2 linked regions of the Saccharomyces cerevisiae S288C genome follow. The main gene of each other region encodes a partner of the protein of the gene in region 2 in a complex. Each region holds a gene or a part of one and is shown on either strand. Other genes may lie near its edges. A codon is read from its position in the direction of its gene.

Evidence for each region.
Region 1: the proteins of ILV2 (region 2) and ILV6 are in contact, whole or in part, in a crystal structure (PDB 6U9D), measured with the Saccharomyces cerevisiae proteins. Residues at the interface, in NP_013826.1 of Saccharomyces cerevisiae: Arg211 (codon at 1,934), Lys215 (codon at 1,922), Trp216 (codon at 1,919), Asn217 (codon at 1,916), Ile236 (codon at 1,859), Pro269 (codon at 1,760), Ser270 (codon at 1,757), Ala272 (codon at 1,751), Leu273 (codon at 1,748), Pro410 (codon at 1,337), Lys411 (codon at 1,334), Ile413 (codon at 1,328), Asn414 (codon at 1,325), Lys415 (codon at 1,322); in NP_009918.1 of Saccharomyces cerevisiae: Gln85 (codon at 14,980), Glu87 (codon at 14,974), Ser92 (codon at 14,959), Arg93 (codon at 14,956), Arg101 (codon at 14,932), Gln134 (codon at 14,833), Arg137 (codon at 14,824), Gln138 (codon at 14,821), Glu140 (codon at 14,815), Asp141 (codon at 14,812), Leu142 (codon at 14,809), Val143 (codon at 14,806), Pro144 (codon at 14,803), Val145 (codon at 14,800), Tyr146 (codon at 14,797), Ala147 (codon at 14,794).

The regions. Positions count from the first base shown.
Region 1 is NC_001135.5:90,317-107,163, forward strand, and holds ILV6 (acetolactate synthase regulatory subunit), read right to left. Parts: upstream 15,233-16,847; coding exon 14,303-15,232; downstream 1-14,302. Other genes in the region: LEU2 (3-isopropylmalate dehydrogenase), read left to right, coding at 1,008-2,102; NFS1 (cysteine desulfurase), read right to left, coding at 2,461-3,954; DCC1 (Dcc1p), read right to left, coding at 4,305-5,447; BUD3 (Bud3p), read left to right, coding at 5,965-10,875; YCL012C (uncharacterized protein), read right to left, coding at 11,001-11,317, 11,385-11,472; GBP2 (single-stranded telomeric DNA-binding/mRNA-binding protein), read right to left, coding at 11,759-13,042; SGF29 (Sgf29p), read right to left, coding at 13,255-14,034; ubiquitin-binding ESCRT-I subunit protein STP22, read right to left, coding at 15,380-16,537; VMA9 (H(+)-transporting V0 sector ATPase subunit e), read left to right, coding at 16,707-16,717, 16,795-16,847. UniProt on the Saccharomyces cerevisiae protein: Regulatory subunit of mitochondrial acetolactate synthase, which catalyzes the first of a series of common steps in the biosynthesis of the branched-chain amino acids.
Region 2 is NC_001145.3:482,339-486,647, reverse strand, and holds ILV2 (acetolactate synthase catalytic subunit), read right to left. Parts: upstream 2,565-4,309; coding exon 501-2,564; downstream 1-500. Other genes in the region: MYO5 (myosin 5), read right to left, coding at 1-61; SPG4 (Spg4p), read right to left, coding at 3,287-3,634. UniProt on the Saccharomyces cerevisiae protein: Catalytic subunit of mitochondrial acetolactate synthase, which catalyzes the first of a series of common steps in the biosynthesis of the branched-chain amino acids.

The sequences.
Region 1 (16,847 bases), on a different chromosome or scaffold from region 2:
GTATACTACATCGAGACCAAGAAGAACATTGCTGATGTGATGACAAAACCTCTTCCGATAAAAACATTTAAACTATTAACTAACAAATGGATTCATTAGATCTATTACATTATGGGTGGTATGTTGGAATAAAAATCAACTATCATCTACTAACTAGTATTTACGTTACTAGTATATTATCATATACGGTGTTAGAAGATGACGCAAATGATGAGAAATAGTCATCTAAATTAGTGGAAGCTGAAACGCAAGGATTGATAATGTAATAGGATCAATGAATATTAACATATAAAATGATGATAATAATATTTATAGAATTGTGTAGAATTGCAGATTCCCTTTTATGGATTCCTAAATCCTCGAGGAGAACTTCTAGTATATCTACATACCTAATATTATTGCCTTATTAAAAATGGAATCCCAACAATTACATCAAAATCCACATTCTCTTCAAAATCAATTGTCCTGTACTTCCTTGTTCATGTGTGTTCAAAAACGTTATATTTATAGGATAATTATACTCTATTTCTCAACAAGTAATTGGTTGTTTGGCCGAGCGGTCTAAGGCGCCTGATTCAAGAAATATCTTGACCGCAGTTAACTGTGGGAATACTCAGGTATCGTAAGATGCAAGAGTTCGAATCTCTTAGCAACCATTATTTTTTTCCTCAACATAACGAGAACACACAGGGGCGCTATCGCACAGAATCAAATTCGATGACTGGAAATTTTTTGTTAATTTCAGAGGTCGCCTGACGCATATACCTTTTTCAACTGAAAAATTGGGAGAAAAAGGAAAGGTGAGAGCGCCGGAACCGGCTTTTCATATAGAATAGAGAAGCGTTCATGACTAAATGCTTGCATCACAATACTTGAAGTTGACAATATTATTTAAGGACCTATTGTTTTTTCCAATAGGTGGTTAGCAATCGTCTTACTTTCTAACTTTTCTTACCTTTTACATTTCAGCAATATATATATATATATTTCAAGGATATACCATTCTAATGTCTGCCCCTAAGAAGATCGTCGTTTTGCCAGGTGACCACGTTGGTCAAGAAATCACAGCCGAAGCCATTAAGGTTCTTAAAGCTATTTCTGATGTTCGTTCCAATGTCAAGTTCGATTTCGAAAATCATTTAATTGGTGGTGCTGCTATCGATGCTACAGGTGTTCCACTTCCAGATGAGGCGCTGGAAGCCTCCAAGAAGGCTGATGCCGTTTTGTTAGGTGCTGTGGGTGGTCCTAAATGGGGTACCGGTAGTGTTAGACCTGAACAAGGTTTACTAAAAATCCGTAAAGAACTTCAATTGTACGCCAACTTAAGACCATGTAACTTTGCATCCGACTCTCTTTTAGACTTATCTCCAATCAAGCCACAATTTGCTAAAGGTACTGACTTCGTTGTTGTCAGAGAATTAGTGGGAGGTATTTACTTTGGTAAGAGAAAGGAAGACGATGGTGATGGTGTCGCTTGGGATAGTGAACAATACACCGTTCCAGAAGTGCAAAGAATCACAAGAATGGCCGCTTTCATGGCCCTACAACATGAGCCACCATTGCCTATTTGGTCCTTGGATAAAGCTAATGTTTTGGCCTCTTCAAGATTATGGAGAAAAACTGTGGAGGAAACCATCAAGAACGAATTCCCTACATTGAAGGTTCAACATCAATTGATTGATTCTGCCGCCATGATCCTAGTTAAGAACCCAACCCACCTAAATGGTATTATAATCACCAGCAACATGTTTGGTGATATCATCTCCGATGAAGCCTCCGTTATCCCAGGTTCCTTGGGTTTGTTGCCATCTGCGTCCTTGGCCTCTTTGCCAGACAAGAACACCGCATTTGGTTTGTACGAACCATGCCACGGTTCTGCTCCAGATTTGCCAAAGAATAAGGTCAACCCTATCGCCACTATCTTGTCTGCTGCAATGATGTTGAAATTGTCATTGAACTTGCCTGAAGAAGGTAAGGCCATTGAAGATGCAGTTAAAAAGGTTTTGGATGCAGGTATCAGAACTGGTGATTTAGGTGGTTCCAACAGTACCACCGAAGTCGGTGATGCTGTCGCCGAAGAAGTTAAGAAAATCCTTGCTTAAAAAGATTCTCTTTTTTTATGATATTTGTACATAAACTTTATAAATGAAATTCATAATAGAAACGACACGAAATTACAAAATGGAATATGTTCATAGGGTAGACGAAACTATATACGCAATCTACATACATTTATCAAGAAGGAGAAAAAGGAGGATGTAAAGGAATACAGGTAAGCAAATTGATACTAATGGCTCAACGTGATAAGGAAAAAGAATTGCACTTTAACATTAATATTGACAAGGAGGAGGGCACCACACAAAAAGTTAGGTGTAACAGAAAATCATGAAACTATGATTCCTAATTTATATATTGGAGGATTTTCTCTAAAAAAAAAAAAATACAACAAATAAAAAACACTCAATGACCTGACCATTTGATGGAGTTTAAGTCAATACCTTCTTGAACCATTTCCCATAATGGTGAAAGTTCCCTCAAGAATTTTACTCTGTCAGAAACGGCCTTAACGACGTAGTCGACCTCCTCTTCAGTACTAAATCTACCAATACCAAATCTGATGGAAGAATGGGCTAATGCATCATCCTTACCCAGCGCATGTAAAACATAAGAAGGTTCTAGGGAAGCAGATGTACAGGCTGAACCCGAGGATAATGCGATATCCCTTAGTGCCATCAATAAAGATTCTCCTTCCACGTAGGCGAAAGAAACGTTAACACACCCTGGATAACGATGATCTGGAGATCCGTTCAACGTGGTATGTTCAGCGGATAATAGACCTTTGACTAATTTATCGGATAGTCTTTTGATGTGAGCTTGGTCGTTGTCAAATTCTTTCTTCATCAATCTCGCAGCTTCACCAAATCCCGCTACCAATGGGGGGGCCAAAGTACCAGATCTCAATCCTCTCTCTTGGCCACCACCGGATAGTAAAGGTTCTAATCTAACTCTTGGTCTCCTTCTTACATAGATGGCACCTATTCCCTTTGGACCGTAAATCTTGTGAGAAGAAATTGATAGTAAATCAATGTTCATTTCATTGACATCAATGTGAATCTTACCATAGGCTTGTGCGGCGTCAGTATGAAAGTAGATCTTATTCTTTCTACAAATTGCACCAATTTCTTTAATAGGTTGAATGACACCGATTTCATTATTGACAGCCATCACAGAGACGAGACAGGTATCTGGTCTAATGGCATCTTCCAATTCCTTCAAATCGATAAGACCTTGATCGTCCACATTTAGGAAAGTGACTTCAAATCCCTCCTTCATCATGGCCCGTGCGGCTTCCAAGACACACTTGTGTTCCGTTCTAGTGGTGATGATGTGTTTCTTAGTCTTCTTATAAAATCTTGGGACACCCTTAAGAACCATATTATTAGATTCGGTCGCTCCCGAAGTGAATATTATTTCCTTGGGGTCGGCATTGATCATCTTTGCTACGTGAGCTCTAGCATTTTCCACAGCAGTATTTGTTTCCCAACCGTAAGAGTGAGTGTTGGAATGAGGATTACCATAAAGTCCCGTATAAAACTTCAACATCGTATCCAAAACCCTAGGGTCTGTTGGTGTAGTGGCTTGCATGTCAAGATATATGGGACGAGTACCAAAACCTGTGTTTTCTTGATAAGCATGGCTCATTGCAGTGCTACCAGAAGCTACTACAGCATCTGGGGTGGTACCGGATGCACTCGCACGGGCACTAGCCTGTGCCTTTGCAGCAGCCTGAATATCGGTATGCGTTTCCAGAGAGAAGTTGTCGTCTAACTTCACGCCTGCTGCAGGAGGGGAATAGAATCTCCTGCTTACCAAACAAGCCCTATATGTGGCCGCTGGAACGTTGTAAACTTGAGATAATCTTGTTATCGATCTTGTAGCAGTTGATTTCAACATCTTCCAGTTGTAGCAGTTCCTTCGTGTATGCGATATATTTTAATGAAAATGATGTATCTGAAATAGAAAATATAACACACTAATGAACTCTGTCGGTCTTTACTCTGAGTGAGTTACTTAGATAGTCATCATATATCCCTGGGCGATGGCCTTACTATTTGTCAGCGACCGTATCTAAAATTGGTAGGTCACTATCAACTATTGCGGGTAATAGGGTGCATAATAGTATTGTAATATATATAAATATATAAAGCTACTATGATAGATATTTGTTGCTATTCACGTCATCCACTATTACTTTAGTGGTTCCGCTATATATTCGCATTGCCCATCGAAGGCAGTTTTGTGTGCTACCTGCTCGTGACCACGGTCTTTTTGCCCAGTCTTTTACGGCGGGCATACTTCATGATGAAACTGTCTATTTTCATACCTCTTGAATTTAGTTCTTCAATTAGAGGCTTGATATCCTCCAAGTCCCACTGTGACTGTAGCCTAAACAGGACTTTAAACCGTTCTTTGGGGTCCATTGGTAGTGTGCTTTTCGCTATATACTGGACAGTCTTATCGGTAGGCTTGAAATGATAGCCTCGCAGCATGTCAATGTCAATGTCACATGGGAAGAAAGGTGGGAAAAGGGACTTCCACTTGATGAGGAACTCATCAATTGGCATGCTTATTCCAGAAACATATTTCCTTAGCGCTTGAATCCCGTACCACTGAGCTATAAACGGTATTCTCAAGCGCCACGTATTGTTTTCAGCCTCTTGCTCTTGAACAGCAAATTTATTCAGCACTGTTTCAATGATTTCTCTTGTGTATGGATTGAACTCGTCCTCAATGTCCTTCCCCACAGCGTGATGTGTATCCTCAACATTCAGATGCTGTAGATCGAGTGATTCTGCCATTGCGCTCATCAGTAGTACATGCAGTGCTTTGAAAAGGAAGTCTTGTGAAAGAATACACAACACACCGTCTTTCACAGATCCACCAATCTTATGCCATTTTGATATACCTTCTAGCGCAGAACATGGTGAGTTCTCAAGTAGTTCTTCCAGGGTCCCGATAACCTTTGTAGATGACCTCTTCATGATTTTGTCGGAGAAATCCAGTTCTCCGTTGTATATTGGTACTGAATTCAAGTTCAATTCGCCATGTGTCTCTCTGGTCTCAAATTCTGATTCAGTCTTGGCGAATCCCACGACGTCCATGTACGGCTTGGACAGTCCAAACAAGAGCGTTTCGTCGAAAGTAATAGGTTGTTCAGGAACAAATTCTCTCATTAGTAGAACTGTGTTTGAATGTTTGCGCTGCTTCAGCACCCAAGTCTTGTCGTGCGAACACAGTACAACTTCAGACTTGTCTTTGTCCAATGACTTAAACCTTAACTGGTGATTTTGAACCGGATCCTGTATTATATCCAGTAACTCTGGTGTCAACTGGATCAGCTTATAAGATGGATCATACTCGGGTGCGGAATGTAGGTTGATGGACATGGTACAGGATTATTAGTGAGCAAATCTCTGGTGGATTTTTACCGTTCATCTCATAGTGCTTTTTTAGTTTATTTTTCACTTTTTTCTGGTTATACTATACGCTGCCTACTGAAGCAATAAGCAAGAAACACAACAGTATAAAGGGACAAAGATAATAAACCGCCTACTACTAAATAATATCGCTGTGGTATGCTACTCCTAGAGATTTCGATCACCATCGTGGTGCTCTTTGTCATACGCATAGAATTGACAAAAAAGAACCCTAAGCTATAAATTAGGTCATGTTGAGCGATTGCCAGTTGCCAAGACCTAGGGTTTTGTTCGAACAATTCTAAAAAGGTAAATAAAAACAATGGTAAACAAAGGCTTTGATCTTCAATGAGGAAGATTTCTCTCACTGCGGATAGTAAAAACAACACTAGTTTGTCTGTACTCGCATTCTACTGCTGCTACCTGCTACTCATTACGTGTTCGGGCTGTTATCTGGTTGCTAAAAGAGTATATTTACACCTCACCAATGGAGAAAGACCTGTCGTCTCTTTACTCTGAAAAGAAAGACAAAGAGAACGATGAAACCTTATTTAACATCAAACTATCCAAATCTGTTGTCGAGACCACACCGCTAAATGGTCATTCATTGTTTGATGATGATAAATCACTTTCAGACTGGACGGATAATGTGTTCACTCAATCAGTATTCTATCACGGGTCAGATGACTTGATATGGGGGAAGTTCTTTGTCTGCGTGTACAAGTCCCCCAACAGCAATAAGTTGAACGCTATAATATTCGACAAATTAGGAACATCATGCTTCGAATCCGTCGATATATCTTCCAACTCGCAATACTATCCGGCCATTGAGAATTTGAGTCCAAGTGATCAGGAAAGCAATGTTAAGAAATGCATTGCTGTCATTCTGTTACAGCGCTATCCATTACTTTCACCATCAGACTTATCACAAATATTGTCCAATAAATCGGAAAATTGCGACTATGACCCCCCTTATGCTGGAGATTTGGCTAGTAGTTGCCAGTTGATAACAGCAGTTCCTCCAGAAGATCTGGGGAAGCGCTTCTTTACATCAGGACTTCTGCAAAATAGATTTGTCAGCTCTACCCTGTTAGATGTTATTTATGAAAACAATGAATCCACCATCGAACTAAATAATAGGTTGGTATTCCATCTGGGTGAACAACTTGAACAACTTTTTAACCCAGTCACAGAATACTCACCGGAACAGACAGAATATGGTTATAAGGCGCCAGAGGACGAATTACCCACAGAATCGGATGATGATCTTGTCAAGGCCATTTGCAACGAGTTATTACAACTACAAACAAATTTTACTTTCAATTTGGTAGAATTTTTGCAAAAATTCCTGATCGCCTTGAGAGTCAGAGTACTCAATGAAGAAATTAATGGGTTATCCACAACCAAATTAAATCGACTCTTCCCACCTACAATAGATGAAGTCACAAGAATCAATTGTATTTTTCTAGACTCGCTAAAGACAGCAATCCCTTACGGTTCCCTCGAAGTACTGAAGGCATGCAGCATTACTATTCCTTATTTCTACAAAGCATATACAAGACACGAGGCGGCCACAAAGAACTTCAGCAAAGATATTAAATTGTTTATTAGGCATTTCAGCAATGTAATTCCAGAAAGAGAGGTCTACACGGAAATGAAAATCGAGAGTATAATTAAGGGACCTCAGGAAAAACTACTGAAGCTAAAGTTAATTATAGAGAGATTGTGGAAGTCGAAAAAATGGAGACCGAAAAATCAAGAAATGGCAAAAAAATGCTACAACAATATCATTGATGTCATTGATTCGTTTGGAAAATTAGATTCCCCACTTCATTCTTATAGTACCAGAGTATTTACTCCATCGGGAAAAATCCTTACAGAATTAGCCAAATGCTGGCCCGTAGAACTGCAATACAAATGGCTGAAGAGAAGGGTAGTCGGTGTGTATGATGTAGTGGATTTGAATGATGAAAATAAGAGAAATTTATTAGTCATATTCAGTGATTATGTGGTTTTCATCAATATACTGGAGGCAGAAAGTTACTACACTTCAGATGGATCAAACAGGCCCTTAATCTCAGATATTTTAATGAACTCATTGATCAACGAAGTTCCGTTGCCCTCCAAGATCCCTAAGTTGAAAGTGGAGCGTCATTGCTATATAGATGAGGTTCTAGTTTCTATATTAGACAAAAGCACTCTACGTTTTGATCGATTGAAGGGAAAAGATTCTTTCTCAATGGTATGTAAATTATCCTCTGCATTTATCTCTTCTTCGTCAGTTGCTGACTTGATTACGAAGGCTAGAATTTTGGAAAAAGACACTGCATTTCATTTATTTAAAGCTAGTAGAAGCCATTTTACATTATATTCTACTGCTCACGAGCTTTGCGCTTATGATTCCGAAAAAATAAAATCAAAATTTGCCTTATTCCTGAACATACCACCATCCAAGGAGATATTGGAGGTCAACAACCTTCATTTGGCTTTTTTTGCAAGATTTTGCAGTAACGATGGTAGAGATAACATCGTAATCTTAGACGTCTTAACCAAACATGACGATAAACATATAGAAGTTACATCCGATAACATTGTTTTCACCATAATTAATCAATTGGCCATTGAAATACCGATATGCTTTTCTTCCTTAAACTCATCGATGGCCAAAGATTTACTCTGTGTAAATGAGAATTTGATAAAAAACTTAGAACATCAATTGGAAGAGGTCAAGCACCCTTCAACAGACGAACATAGGGCTGTTAATAGCAAACTTTCCGGTGCATCCGATTTCGATGCTACTCACGAGAAGAAAAGATCATACGGTACCATAACAACATTTAGAAGCTATACAAGCGACTTGAAGGACAGTCCATCAGGCGATAATAGTAATGTCACCAAGGAAACTAAGGAAATTTTACCAGTGAAACCTACGAAAAAGTCTTCAAAAAAACCAAGAGAAATTCAAAAGAAGACCAAGACAAACGCCTCTAAAGCAGAGCACATAGAAAAGAAGAAGCCTAACAAAGGCAAAGGGTTTTTTGGCGTGTTAAAAAATGTTTTTGGAAGTAAAAGCAAGAGCAAGCCTTCACCAGTTCAAAGAGTGCCTAAAAAAATATCGCAGAGGCATCCTAAGTCTCCAGTGAAGAAGCCAATGACCTCAGAAAAGAAATCCTCCCCTAAAAGGGCAGTCGTTTCATCTCCCAAAATTAAAAAGAAAAGTACTTCTTTTTCCACAAAAGAATCACAAACTGCTAAATCTTCTCTTCGAGCAGTTGAATTCAAATCTGATGACTTGATCGGAAAACCACCTGATGTTGGAAATGGCGCACATCCTCAAGAAAATACCAGAATATCTTCAGTAGTAAGGGATACAAAATATGTCTCCTACAATCCCTCTCAGCCTGTGACAGAAAATACCAGTAACGAAAAAAATGTCGAACCAAAAGCGGATCAATCCACAAAGCAGGATAACATTTCCAATTTTGCAGATGTAGAGGTATCTGCGTCTTCTTATCCTGAAAAACTTGATGCAGAAACAGATGATCAAATAATTGGGAAGGCGACGAATTCGTCATCAGTTCATGGAAATAAAGAGCTGCCAGACCTTGCTGAGGTGACTACAGCAAATAGGGTTTCTACAACATCGGCTGGGGACCAACGTATTGATACCCAAAGCGAATTTTTACGTGCAGCTGATGTTGAAAACTTAAGTGATGACGATGAACACAGACAGAATGAAAGTAGAGTTTTTAACGATGACCTCTTTGGTGATTTTATTCCTAAGCATTACCGTAATAAACAGGAGAACATTAACAGCTCGAGTAATTTGTTTCCAGAGGGAAAGGTGCCCCAAGAAAAGGGCGTATCAAATGAAAACACTAACATATCTCTCAAAACTAATGAAGATGCATCTACATTGACGCAGAAACTCTCTCCACAAGCGAGTAAAGTGCTGACAGAAAATTCTAATGAATTAAAAGATACCAACAATGAAGGGAAGGACGCAAAGGACATAAAATTAGGAGATGATTACAGTGATAAAGAAACAGCGAAAGAAATAACTAAACCAAAAAATTTTGTTGAAGGAATAACTGAACGGAAAGAAATATTCCCCACTATTCCTAGGTTAGCGCCGCCAGCTTCAAAAATTAACTTTCAAAGGTCACCATCCTATATTGAGCTCTTTCAAGGAATGAGGGTGGTTTTAGATAAGCATGATGCCCATTATAACTGGAAACGCTTGGCTAGTCAAGTCTCCTTAAGTGAGGGACTAAAAGTCAATACTGAGGAAGATGCGGCAATTATAAATAAAAGTCAGGATGATGCCAAGGCGGAAAGAATGACTCAAATTTCTGAAGTGATTGAGTATGAAATGCAGCAACCTATCCCAACTTATTTGCCTAAGGCGCATCTAGATGACTCGGGTATTGAAAAAAGTGATGACAAATTCTTCGAAATTGAAGAAGAACTTAAGGAAGAATTGAAGGGCAGCAAAACCGGTAATGAAGATGTCGGTAATAATAATCCATCCAATTCTATTCCAAAAATCGAGAAGCCCCCAGCATTCAAAGTTATTAGAACATCGCCTGTGAGAATTATCGGAAGGACTTTTGAAGACACTAGAAAATATGAAAATGGCTCTCCATCTGATATTTCGTTCACTTATGATACTCACAACAATGATGAACCTGACAAAAGGCTGATGGAATTAAAATTTCCATCCCAAGATGAAATTCCGGATGACAGATTCTATACTCCAGCAGAGGAACCCACTGCTGAATTTCCGGTGGAAGAACTTCCAAATACTCCGCGAAGTATTAACGTTACAACTTCAAATAACAAGAGCACAGACGATAAGTTGAGTAGCGGTAATATTGATCAAAAACCTACCGAACTGTTAGATGATTTAGAATTCAGTTCATTTAATATAGCATTTGGAAATACCTCCATGAGTACTGACAATATGAAAATATCATCCGACTTAAGTTCGAATAAAACCGTGTTAGGAAATGCTCAGAAAGTTCAAGAGTCTCCTAGTGGACCATTAATCTATGTTTTGCCTCAGAGTAGCACAAAGCATGAGAAAGAGGGGTTCCTTCGAAAGAAACAAAAAGACGAGCCCATTTGGGTTTCCCCTAGCAAAATTGACTTTGCTGATCTAAGTAGGAGAACTAAAGCATTGACGCCAGAGCGTAATACTGTTCCTTTGAAAAACAACGACAGTAGAAAATACAAATATACTGGAGAGGGATCTATCGGTAATATGACAAATATGCTGTTAACTAAAGATGCTTCGTACGCGTACTTAAAAGATTTTGTTGCGTTGAGTGACGATGAAGATGAAGATGGGAAACAGAACTGCGCTGTTGGTGGCCCAGAGAAACTGAAATTTTATTGAGTGTTTTATTGATTTTTTTTTTCTTTTTAATTTAATGCAATGTATACATTTACATAAAATATGGACAAATAAGAAAAAGGGGGAAAAACCTCCCACTTAAGTAAAACTGAATATATTAGATACCTTTACCTACTATCAAAGGTGAATGCTTTTGGATCAATAGGGGTTCCATCGGGGGCAATACCATTTTGGCCGAACTTTCTTTCCATATATAATAGTCTAGCCTTATCGAAATCTACATTATCGTTTTCCATAATTTGTTTAATCTCATTCTTGGAGACATCATCCAAACCACCTCTTACGTCGTTGCTATTCTCCGAGATAATATCGAAATTCCTGGAATGGAGACCGTTTTCTAGGTCATCAGCAAAGGAATCATTTAAACGTATATGTCTATTAAAACGTAATTGTATTCTTGAACGCAGTGCACGAAATTTGTCGGCTATTACAGCTGTTAGTATTTAGATACGGTTTGCACTTTGCATTTTCAAATGCTTAAATATACATACCAACTTTGGTTTTCCGGTGTGCCATAAGAAGGCATAAAGACAATAGCACAACCCAGAGGAGCAATTTGAGATAGAACAAACTCTTCATACTCGTATTTGCAATTTTTGGAAATTAATTGTGTAGCTTTTCTTCTCTTAATTGGTGGCAGTTTTTATATATTCAGTTTAGAATACCCTTTTTTTTTTTTTTTTTTTCTTCGCTTTTCGCATCTCATCGCTGGAAGTGGTGCTCTTTTACAGGGATTAAATAAGGTTATTCTTTTTGGTCAAAATGATAAATATAACTATTAAAGTTATTTATAACCCGCCCGCTTCCTTATTATTTATACGTTATCATAAAGTACACAGGTCATGGTTCGGTTGGTGCTTAGGAATTAATCACGTCTAGCATAAGAGATCTGTAAACTACAACCACCATAATTATAATTATTTAATTTTTGAATACAAAAATCTGCATCTACTAAATTTTCATATTCTACAACAGCAACACCAGTTGGTTGACCATTTTCCTGTGGTTTCAATTCCGCGTTATTGATTTTGCCGATAGGCCCAAACAAGTCGAATAAATCGCTTCTTGCTGTTGAGAATGGTAAATTACTACAATAAATGAAACAGTTTCTATCCCCTCCTGGATTGACACCTTCAGTAAATTTTGCTGCAGTTTCATCAATGTGGACAGCGGCATCCTGCGCAAGACCTGGTTCAGTACCTCTGGTATCTTCAAGGTCCTCACGCCTTTGATTATAACGATCATTGTTCTTTCTCTTGTTGAAACGCCCTTCTCTAACTTCCAAAACTCTACCTTCTACTTCCATGCCGTTGAATGTATCGATAGCTCTAATCATTTCATCCTCAGTAGGATAAATGACAGAACCGAATCCTCTTGAAAATCCGTTGAAATCCAATTCTACATCGGCACGCAAGACATGACCACATTCTTTAAACATATCTTTTAAGGATTGCCAATTCATAGAGTACGGTAAATTGATGATGAACACTTCAAACCCATTATCTATTTCTTCCCTAGTAGCTTTCTTAGAAAATTCCTTGGCAGCTTCAGGAGGAGGATTATCCTGTCTTACCATTAGTTTCCGGTCCATAAAGAGGGCACCATCAAACTTCGATATGGCATCTTGGACAGATTCGTTTTTGGTAAATTCCACAGTCCCCATACCACGGTGATGGCCCTTTGATGTGATAATGTCAGCCTCCACAACTTCGCCCACTGTACCAAACAATTCCTTAAGGTCTTCAGGGGTACAATCAAAAGTCAAGTTTCTCACGAAGATACTATTTTCAAAATTTCTCTTGGTCGCGTCAAATTGCCTTTCTAAGTCTCTTTCAACAATTGGACCTAAAGTACGACCCCTACCGCCACCGCGTCCCCCTCTGAATGATCTGCTTCCTCCTCTGCCACGGCCTCCTCGGCGAGGGGGCCAGTTCCTATCATCGTGGTAGCGGCTGCCACCATAACTCTGATCGTACCGATCATTGAAACGGGAGCCTCGGTCGCGTCTCTGACGACGACTGCCATTACCATTATTACTGCTACTATCGTTATAATCATCGTACCTGTCTCTGTCGTCGCTCAAACGACGACGTACAGGTGATCTTGATCTACTCCTATCATTTCCATACATCCCTAGCTCTCTCTCCATCTTGGCGAAAAAATCCAGCTGATGTTTGTTTCCTTTTCGCCCATAGCTTATTTCTAATGGGAAATCCTCAATATAATTGATTTCATCCAAGCTTTCATTTTTTTTCAATTTTTTTCACCTTCAAGTGAATACATCACTTCCGACGATACCAAAATAATGACAAAATGCCATGAGAAGATCTTATGATATGTAGTAAATGTTAACCACCATTGCTATTTCCTTGCTAGGTTTGCCAAAGCCGTTGGCGAAGGCAGCACTAGACGGCGAGTCACTTCCGTCTCTTTGTCCACTTCCTCTTCACCATCAAATCGAAGCCTGCAAGTGCCGTCCCTCTTGGTTCCGATGACAATTGCAGGATAAAAAGTGGTCGTTTCAGGATATCTTGCCAGAACCTTAGTACCTGGCGGGTAGTTCTTAGTGGGAAAGCCTGGCGGGATCAACAGTAGTTCTTTCCGATTACATTTATACACCTTGCCTGAGTTGCCCAATTCATCAGGTTCAGGATCTCTCACTTCAAATCGTGTACCATCTGCTACGACTTTGAGTACTTCACACTGTATCCATTCGCCGTCGGCACTGCCCCTTCTGGGCTTATAGGCAACCTCTGAGCCCACCAAAATAGGTGCATTTGGGTTGTATTCGCTGGTCCAGTACGATCTGCCAACTTTCCCCACAGCTTTCTTGCCCTGCGACAATGCCATGCGTGTCCCTTCTCCTTCTTCTGCATCTTCAGTATTTTCCTCACTCTTTTCCTCTCGTGACTGATTCAACATCAACGACAAATTGGAACGTACATTGTCAAGGATTCGGTGCACTCTGTTGACGTTTTCCATGTGTTCTTGGAAAGTGTTGAGATGCAATTGCAGCTGATCCTTTGACATATTAAGGAAATTTAGTTTTTTTGTTTGCAGCTCATCATCAAAGGGAATGACCTCGTTGGCATTGTATATGTCTTGCAAGGACGACACTACAACATCCCAATATCCGTCCATAATAAGAAAGGTGACCGTGTGTTTTGCTGTGAAAAACTCCCCCCACTTAGAGAAGCCACCAAGGTATTGTGTCTTTAACCTTTTTCGTATCTGGCAAAATCGAAGAGGAAAGCAGAAAACCAAAAGAAAAAAATAGTTTAGTAACGCGTCACCTCGTACAAACGTACAATCATAGCAACTTATGAGTAAATAGGCTCATGGTTATAGATACGTTATATAGATGTATAGAGGAGAGTCCCGAGGGCGATCGCAAGGCCGAGAGACTAACCTAACCAGGTGGTAGTTGGGAAATGTCGACGATTTCGCTGATCTTTTCGTCTTCGTCGGCAGCTTCCTCGGTGCTTGTCTTCAAAGGAGTTCTTGGCAATGCCATCATACCGCTTCTTGCACACTCTAGGACACCGAATGGCTCGACCAACTTCAAGAAGGCAGAGATACGTGTGGGTTTTGCAGACAACTCCACAATACAGCTTGTTTCGCTGATGTCGACGACACGACCTCCAAAGTTGTTGGTCAAGTTGGTGATATCGTTCAAATGCTCGTGCTTCAACCTTAATACCTCACTGGCGGGCAAGTTGGCAGGGTGGAATTGCTTTTCTCTGATTTCGGCGACCAATTCTTGGGAGTCAGCGGCGCCAGCATTGGTGGAAGTGTGGTGGTGCAATAGTAGGTCTTCGAAGTATTCAGTACCCAATAGAGAGATTCTGGCCATCACTAGCTCTCTTTTGATGATCTCAGAATTGGTATAGTCTAGGACGGCGTAGACGGGGACCAAGTCTTCGATTTGTCTGCGTGCTTGTTCGACTACGCCATCTTGCCCTTGCAAAACAATGGTCATTCTACTTAGGTCTTTGACCTCGGTGTTGCACACGACCAACGAATCGATGTTAAAGCCTCTGGCAGCTAACGTACCCGAGACTCTGGACAAGACACCGGGTTCGTTTTGCACCAAACAGTTCAAGACATGCTGTTTTCTTGGTTGACGAGAAGGCGCTGGTGTTTCGTAAATGATGGATGAAACGGCACTGTTGGCATTCCAGGAAGGAGTGTCTAGTGTGGGCAAGGGAGGTCTTGTTGCGTGTCTGTGCATCTGCTTGTACGCCAACGCGGAGGTCGACGAGGAACTGCAACGCACCATGGTAGCACATGAAGAAGCAACCACCCTGCGGTGGCCGCTTTGCAATAACGATCTCAGCATTAGAAAGACTGGGTTAGTGAGCTCAGATGTTCTAAAGATTCTGTATATACGAACTATGTACTTCCATATATACCATTCCCCGTTCTTGTTAGGTAAAGGTTAAAAAAATATTTTTTATGGCACTTCGGCGATGCGAAAGAAAGTGAGTCACGATAACGGTGAGGTGATTCGTTGGATGTGCCATCGCACAAGGAATTGCTGGCGTGCTAATTCACGACCTTGCTTGACAAAAGTATCGAGGGGAATGGTGCCACGGTGCAGCATCCTAGATAAGCACTCAATGGTGTCCGTGAGAGCGTAGTCCTGGGCAACGAGGTTGTATAGTTGATTGAGTCCATCTGTTTTGGCCACTGCTATGGAGTTCACGTCCTCGTCATCCACATGCGAAGTTGAGCTAAACTGTTGGACTTTGGCCCTATTTGCGGTCAGGACGTCTATCTGTGCGTTTAGCGAGTGCATGGTCTGCTCAATAGCCTGCTCAACGGCTCGTAAATGGTTCTTGTCGATGGCGATTATTTCATGGAATCTGGCAATTGATTCTTGCATGACGGTCTGTCTCGTCAGTATCTTGTCCGCTACATAGTCCACATCCTCTCTGTATAACTCATTGACTACGGTTTGTAGATTTTGTAGCATTTCATGATGGTTGGTTGGGGAGATATCCGTGTTGTCCATGTCCATAAGGTCGAGTGCGTTAGATGCCGGTTGAGGTGGTGGAGGTGGAGGCAATGGCGGTTTTAGGTGTGGAGACTTGGGCTTTGGGGGCAGTGGGGGAGTATTCTGCTCCTGCTGGAGCTGCGTATTGGGCTTAGGGGGTAGACTGGGCGCCTGATCTTGTGGCGGCTCGTGTAAGAGACTCATTAATTCTTGTACGACCATTATAAGGTTCATCGCGGCAGGATCCCAGCAGTGGAGTATGGGCAGCGCAATCCACCCATTGGAGTCGATGTATTCTTGAATGGGCAAGGAACTACTGATGGTGTTCATGTCGAAATTTTCCAAGTTTATACTTATAAAGGGAGGTTTTACCGGGTACATACTGGGTACCCACATGATCACAGGAATACTGTGAGGAGATGAACCATCCTCACCAGTACTAATGGTACCATATATGGACAACAGTAGTTGTGGAGTGCCGTCAGAGTGCGTAAATACCCTTGTTCTTGGCCTTAAACTGTGAAAATTGTCCAGCAGCGCTAAAGAATCGTGGAAAGTTGTTCTTCCGTCGTTATAAATGGGTTGAATGACTTTGAACAGCCAATTGACCACCGCCTCGGGAACAGAGATCTTGCCGTTTGCAGACATCGTTGCTCTTCACTCTCTCTCTTTTCTTGGCCGTTAAGATACCAACTGCCCACAAAATTTTGCCGTAACTTTTTATTCTCGCTCTGTGAAAAAAGACTACTACATTTTTTGACCTTTTATCTATACTTTAAGAAACAAAGGTCCAACGAATAATAAAGAACAAAGAGTAATGAGTAGTTTGTATGTGTCATAATCTCTTCTCTCCGCTTCCCTTTTCTTCCTTCTTCTTCTACTAACTCTCTGCGCGTCCAATTTAGCTATACTGTTGTTGGTGTATTCATAGTGGTTAGTGCCATGTCCGTGCTGTTCT
Region 2 (4,309 bases):
CAGAGCGTTTAGCTGGCTCCTGATGTACCTTTTTTCTAGCTCCTCTTTTTAAGATAGCCATTTCTATAAAGCGGTTAAATTCGTATTGGCCACTGTTCTTATGCTTTATTATAAACTATAACCTTTAAATACATAGTCCAGTTTGTATTTTCCAAGCTTGCAATTTTTGACGGCCCCTTTTCGAGAAATATTTTTGATGATTGACAAAACGAGAAAGAAGTCGTGTCCGACGAGTTAAAACACACCATTTGAATACATATGCTACGTATCCACTTTAGATTTATCAAATACTACCAACTCACTTGAATTGAACTTATTATTCATCTATGACTTAATTTTAGCCGTCATTAGTTTTTTAGAAAAAAATATATAAAGTATATACGAAAAAAATATACATGACTACCGATTTGGTAGAATGTCATATATAAGAAGCACGATTAAATAATAATAAAGTCTGCATTTTTTACTGAAAATGCTTTTGAAATAAATGTTTTTGAAATTCAGTGCTTACCGCCTGTACGCTTATGACGTAATTCAGTCTGTTGTCTTTCAACTTCTGGGTCAAAATTTATGAACTCGTCTAGACCGCTACCACCTGCCACCATTGGCAAAACAGGAACTTTTTTATCAACTTCCACTTCAAGCAAAACTGGGCCCTTGGTAGAAACGAATTCTTTCAACTTAGCGTCCAATTCCTCTTGCTTCTTGACTCTTAAACCTTTTAAACCCATAGCCTCCGCTAGTTTTATGAAATCAGGGTTCAATTGATGTGTGTGGGAATAACGATGTTCGTAGAACAGGGATTGCCATTGAGTAACCATACCTTGCTCTTCATTGTTCAAAATCAAAATCTTCACTGGAGTACCAGCTTGAACGGCAGAACTCAATTCCGTTAGAGTCATGTTAAAGGATGCGTCACCATCAATGTCAATAACCAAAGATTCTGGCTTTGCAACTTGAGCACCGATGGCGGCAGGGAGACCGTAACCCATCGTACCTAAACCACCTGATGTGATGAAAGTATGTGGATTTCTCCATGTCCAGTGTTGAGCAGCCCACATTTGATGTTGCCCCACACCCGTTGTAACAATGACATGTCTTCCTGTGTCGTTGGCAACCTTGGATAGTTTCTTTATAACCGTCTGTGGTTTAATTTTAGATCCTGGAGTCTCCTCCATATAAGCGTATGGGTATTCCTTCTTCCATTTATTTATTTGAGCAAACCATTCAGACCTCTCCTTAACTGGGAAAATCTTTGACATCATTTTGCCCAGATTGGTCGTAGCATCACCTTCCACTGCTATTTGAGTTTGAACAACCTTGTTTATGTTTTTTGGACTAACCTCGAAATGAATAATACCACCTCTACCCTCGGCAGCTGCACGACGAGCTTCTGGAGCGAATTTAGAAATATTACCAGTGACACGGTCGTCGAATCTAGCACCAACTGCAATTATCAAGTCGGCATTTTGCACTGCCAGGTTGGCAGTAGCACAACCGTGCATACCAAGCATATCCAATGATTTTGGATCTTCTTGGTCGAATGAACCTAAACCTTGTAAAGTAGTGGTGACAGGTATTTGAGCACGGTCACTTAATTCTTTTAGTAATCTTGGACCATCTGCATGGTTTAAAATACCAGCACCGACGTATAAGACAGGTTTCTTTGCCAAGTTGATCAAATCTGCTGCTTTATTGATACTTTGCATGACAAATTCATCTTGTGCGCGACTGGTTAATTGGTTTAGTGCGTTTGATGGAAGAGTTGTTTTTGTTGGAATTGGATTTCTTAAGATAGCTGCTGTAACATCCTTTGGTAAATCGACCAAGACTGGTCCCGGTCTACCGCTCGTGGCAATTTCAAAAGCCTCGTTAATACGCAATGGCAATTCTTCCACGGACTTGACCATGACATTCCATTTCGTACAAGATCTAGAAATACCAACGACGTCAGCCTCTTGGAAAGCATCAGTACCGATAGCACTAGTTGGGACTTGCCCTGTAAAGACAACCATTGGAATCCCGTCTGCAAAGGCATCTGCCATTGGAGTAACGACATTGGTGGCACCTGGCCCAGAAGTAACCAAGACAACACCTGGTTTACCAGAAGCTCTGGCGTAGCCTTCTGCCATGTGACCGGCACCTTGTTCGTGTTTTGGAAGAACGAAGTTGAATTTATCACTGTTATGAATGGCATCGTAAACAGGTAGGATAGCACCACCTGGATAACCAAATACAGTATCAACGTTTTGTCTGGACATCATTTCGTTAAATATTTGACCACCAGTTAAACCGACGAAAGAGGTATCCATGTCAGGCTCAGCGCGTAGTTTCTTAGCCAATTTTGAAGGTTCAGCGGGCTGTTCTAATGGATCAACATTGAAACTTGGAGCAGGCTCTGGCCTTTTAGAGGCTGGTAATGGAGACGCACTGTAATAACGGGAAGACGAACTATAAAAGCGCTGCGCGAGAGCTACTGATCTCATGGCAGGTGTGTTGCGGTATGCTATATGTTGAAAGCAACGCTTAATAGCGAAGTTTTTTAGCGTAGATTGTCTGATCATTTGAAAATTGATTCTGTTGTATTTATCTCCTCTTAGCTCAAAGGGTTTAGATTTTGTAAAATACTTTCTATTGTAACAGGGAAAATGTGTGTAATTTCGCTTCAAATGAACTAGTAACTGTGGCTGATGAATTCTTCGGTTTTAGACAATGAAGGAAAAAAACAATACAAATTACGGTGTGACGTAGATCTGAATTATTAATTAGGGATGGTGGAGAAAGGATTAGAAATTTGGAAACTTGATAAGAAAATAAATGATAGCATATATATCAACCAGATAAGAGAAATACAAGTTCATCAAAAAAATATTCTTTTTCATTTTTTTTTTTTTTTTTTTTTTTCAGAGAAATGAATCATCGCTACCGAATAGATGGAAGATTAGAAAAAAAAAGAAAAAATACGAACCTTTTGGCGTGGGGCGCTGATTTTTCCGCGCCGAGATCAGCAACTGAAGCCAAGCCGGTACCGGCAGGCTCCGGCGGCTAGGCGTTTGTCACCTTTCATCCGTGCCGACTGACAGACAATGATACTAAAAGACAGTAATTATGGTATTAGTGGCAAAGTTCTGTTTACATAACTTCTTATTGCTTATATAGGTATGAAAAAAGACATAAGGATGCTATCATATAAAACTAATGGAAACACTGAAAAGCATAATAAATATATAATCATGTTAGAATAAATAGACAACACAAGAAAAGACACTATGAATATCTCCTCCATTTATCTATTTACTTTATTGTCGGGTTCCCCCCTCCTCAAACTTTCGTAAAGTCTTAAAAACTCACCTTGCGACATGTTAGAGATGTCAACATTCTTTGGTATTTCTACTTCTGCGGGTAATCTCCCTTCCTTAACGTCCTCAACATCGGAACTGTCCTGTGATCCTATGGAAGATCTTCTCATGCTCTGCAAGTTCTCTTGCTGATGTGTCCTAGGTTGACGGTACTCTTTCGAAAACATAACCTGCGTTTTACTGTCTCCTGTGTTGTTATGGTTTCCTCCATATACACTTGGATCTGCGTGCTTTTTCTTGTCGTATACTGCGAATGCGTCCCAAAAACTACCCATATTTGATATCTCGATTAGTTGGTTTTATTTATCTTGTTACAGAAGTGGCTACAAAAAAAAATTTTATGGAGTTGCAATAGGAAGGGAGGCTCCTATTTATATACTCACTACAAGATATGGGGGTGATTAGCCAAGCAAGATTGTTATCGCACATCATTACCCCACCCTGCTCCCTCTTATCTCCCTGATTCTGTCACCACTACTTCACATCTAGTACCTTAGAACCCAGTCATAAAAGCGCAAACTGACTGGTGTACTTTCCCGAAATATTGCTTAATTGTGCCTTGTGGAGGCTTTAGCAATTAAGGGAGGCGGCTGATGTCCATCAACCGCCCTGCCAGGAGCCAGATGGCGATGTATGGGGTTTTGGCAAAGCGCAGGGAAGTCACTCTTTTGCGTTGGGGTGACGCCGCCGTCCTCATGATGTGTTAGTTATACGTAAATCATGACTACCAGGCACATCAGTGGACGGCGCTAACACCCTTCATCATTTCTGCTCTGATAATTAAACGTGCCAGATGACTTTTTTTCAAATAGTGATGGATTCTTTTTACAGTTTATCTGGGCTTTATATAGGAGATTATTGCCATCCAGATAAAAATTGTAAGAATGATGATTATCTAAAGTTTAGGTTTTGTCAAAAGTTGGCGCTAAACTAGAAAATACAAAGGATTG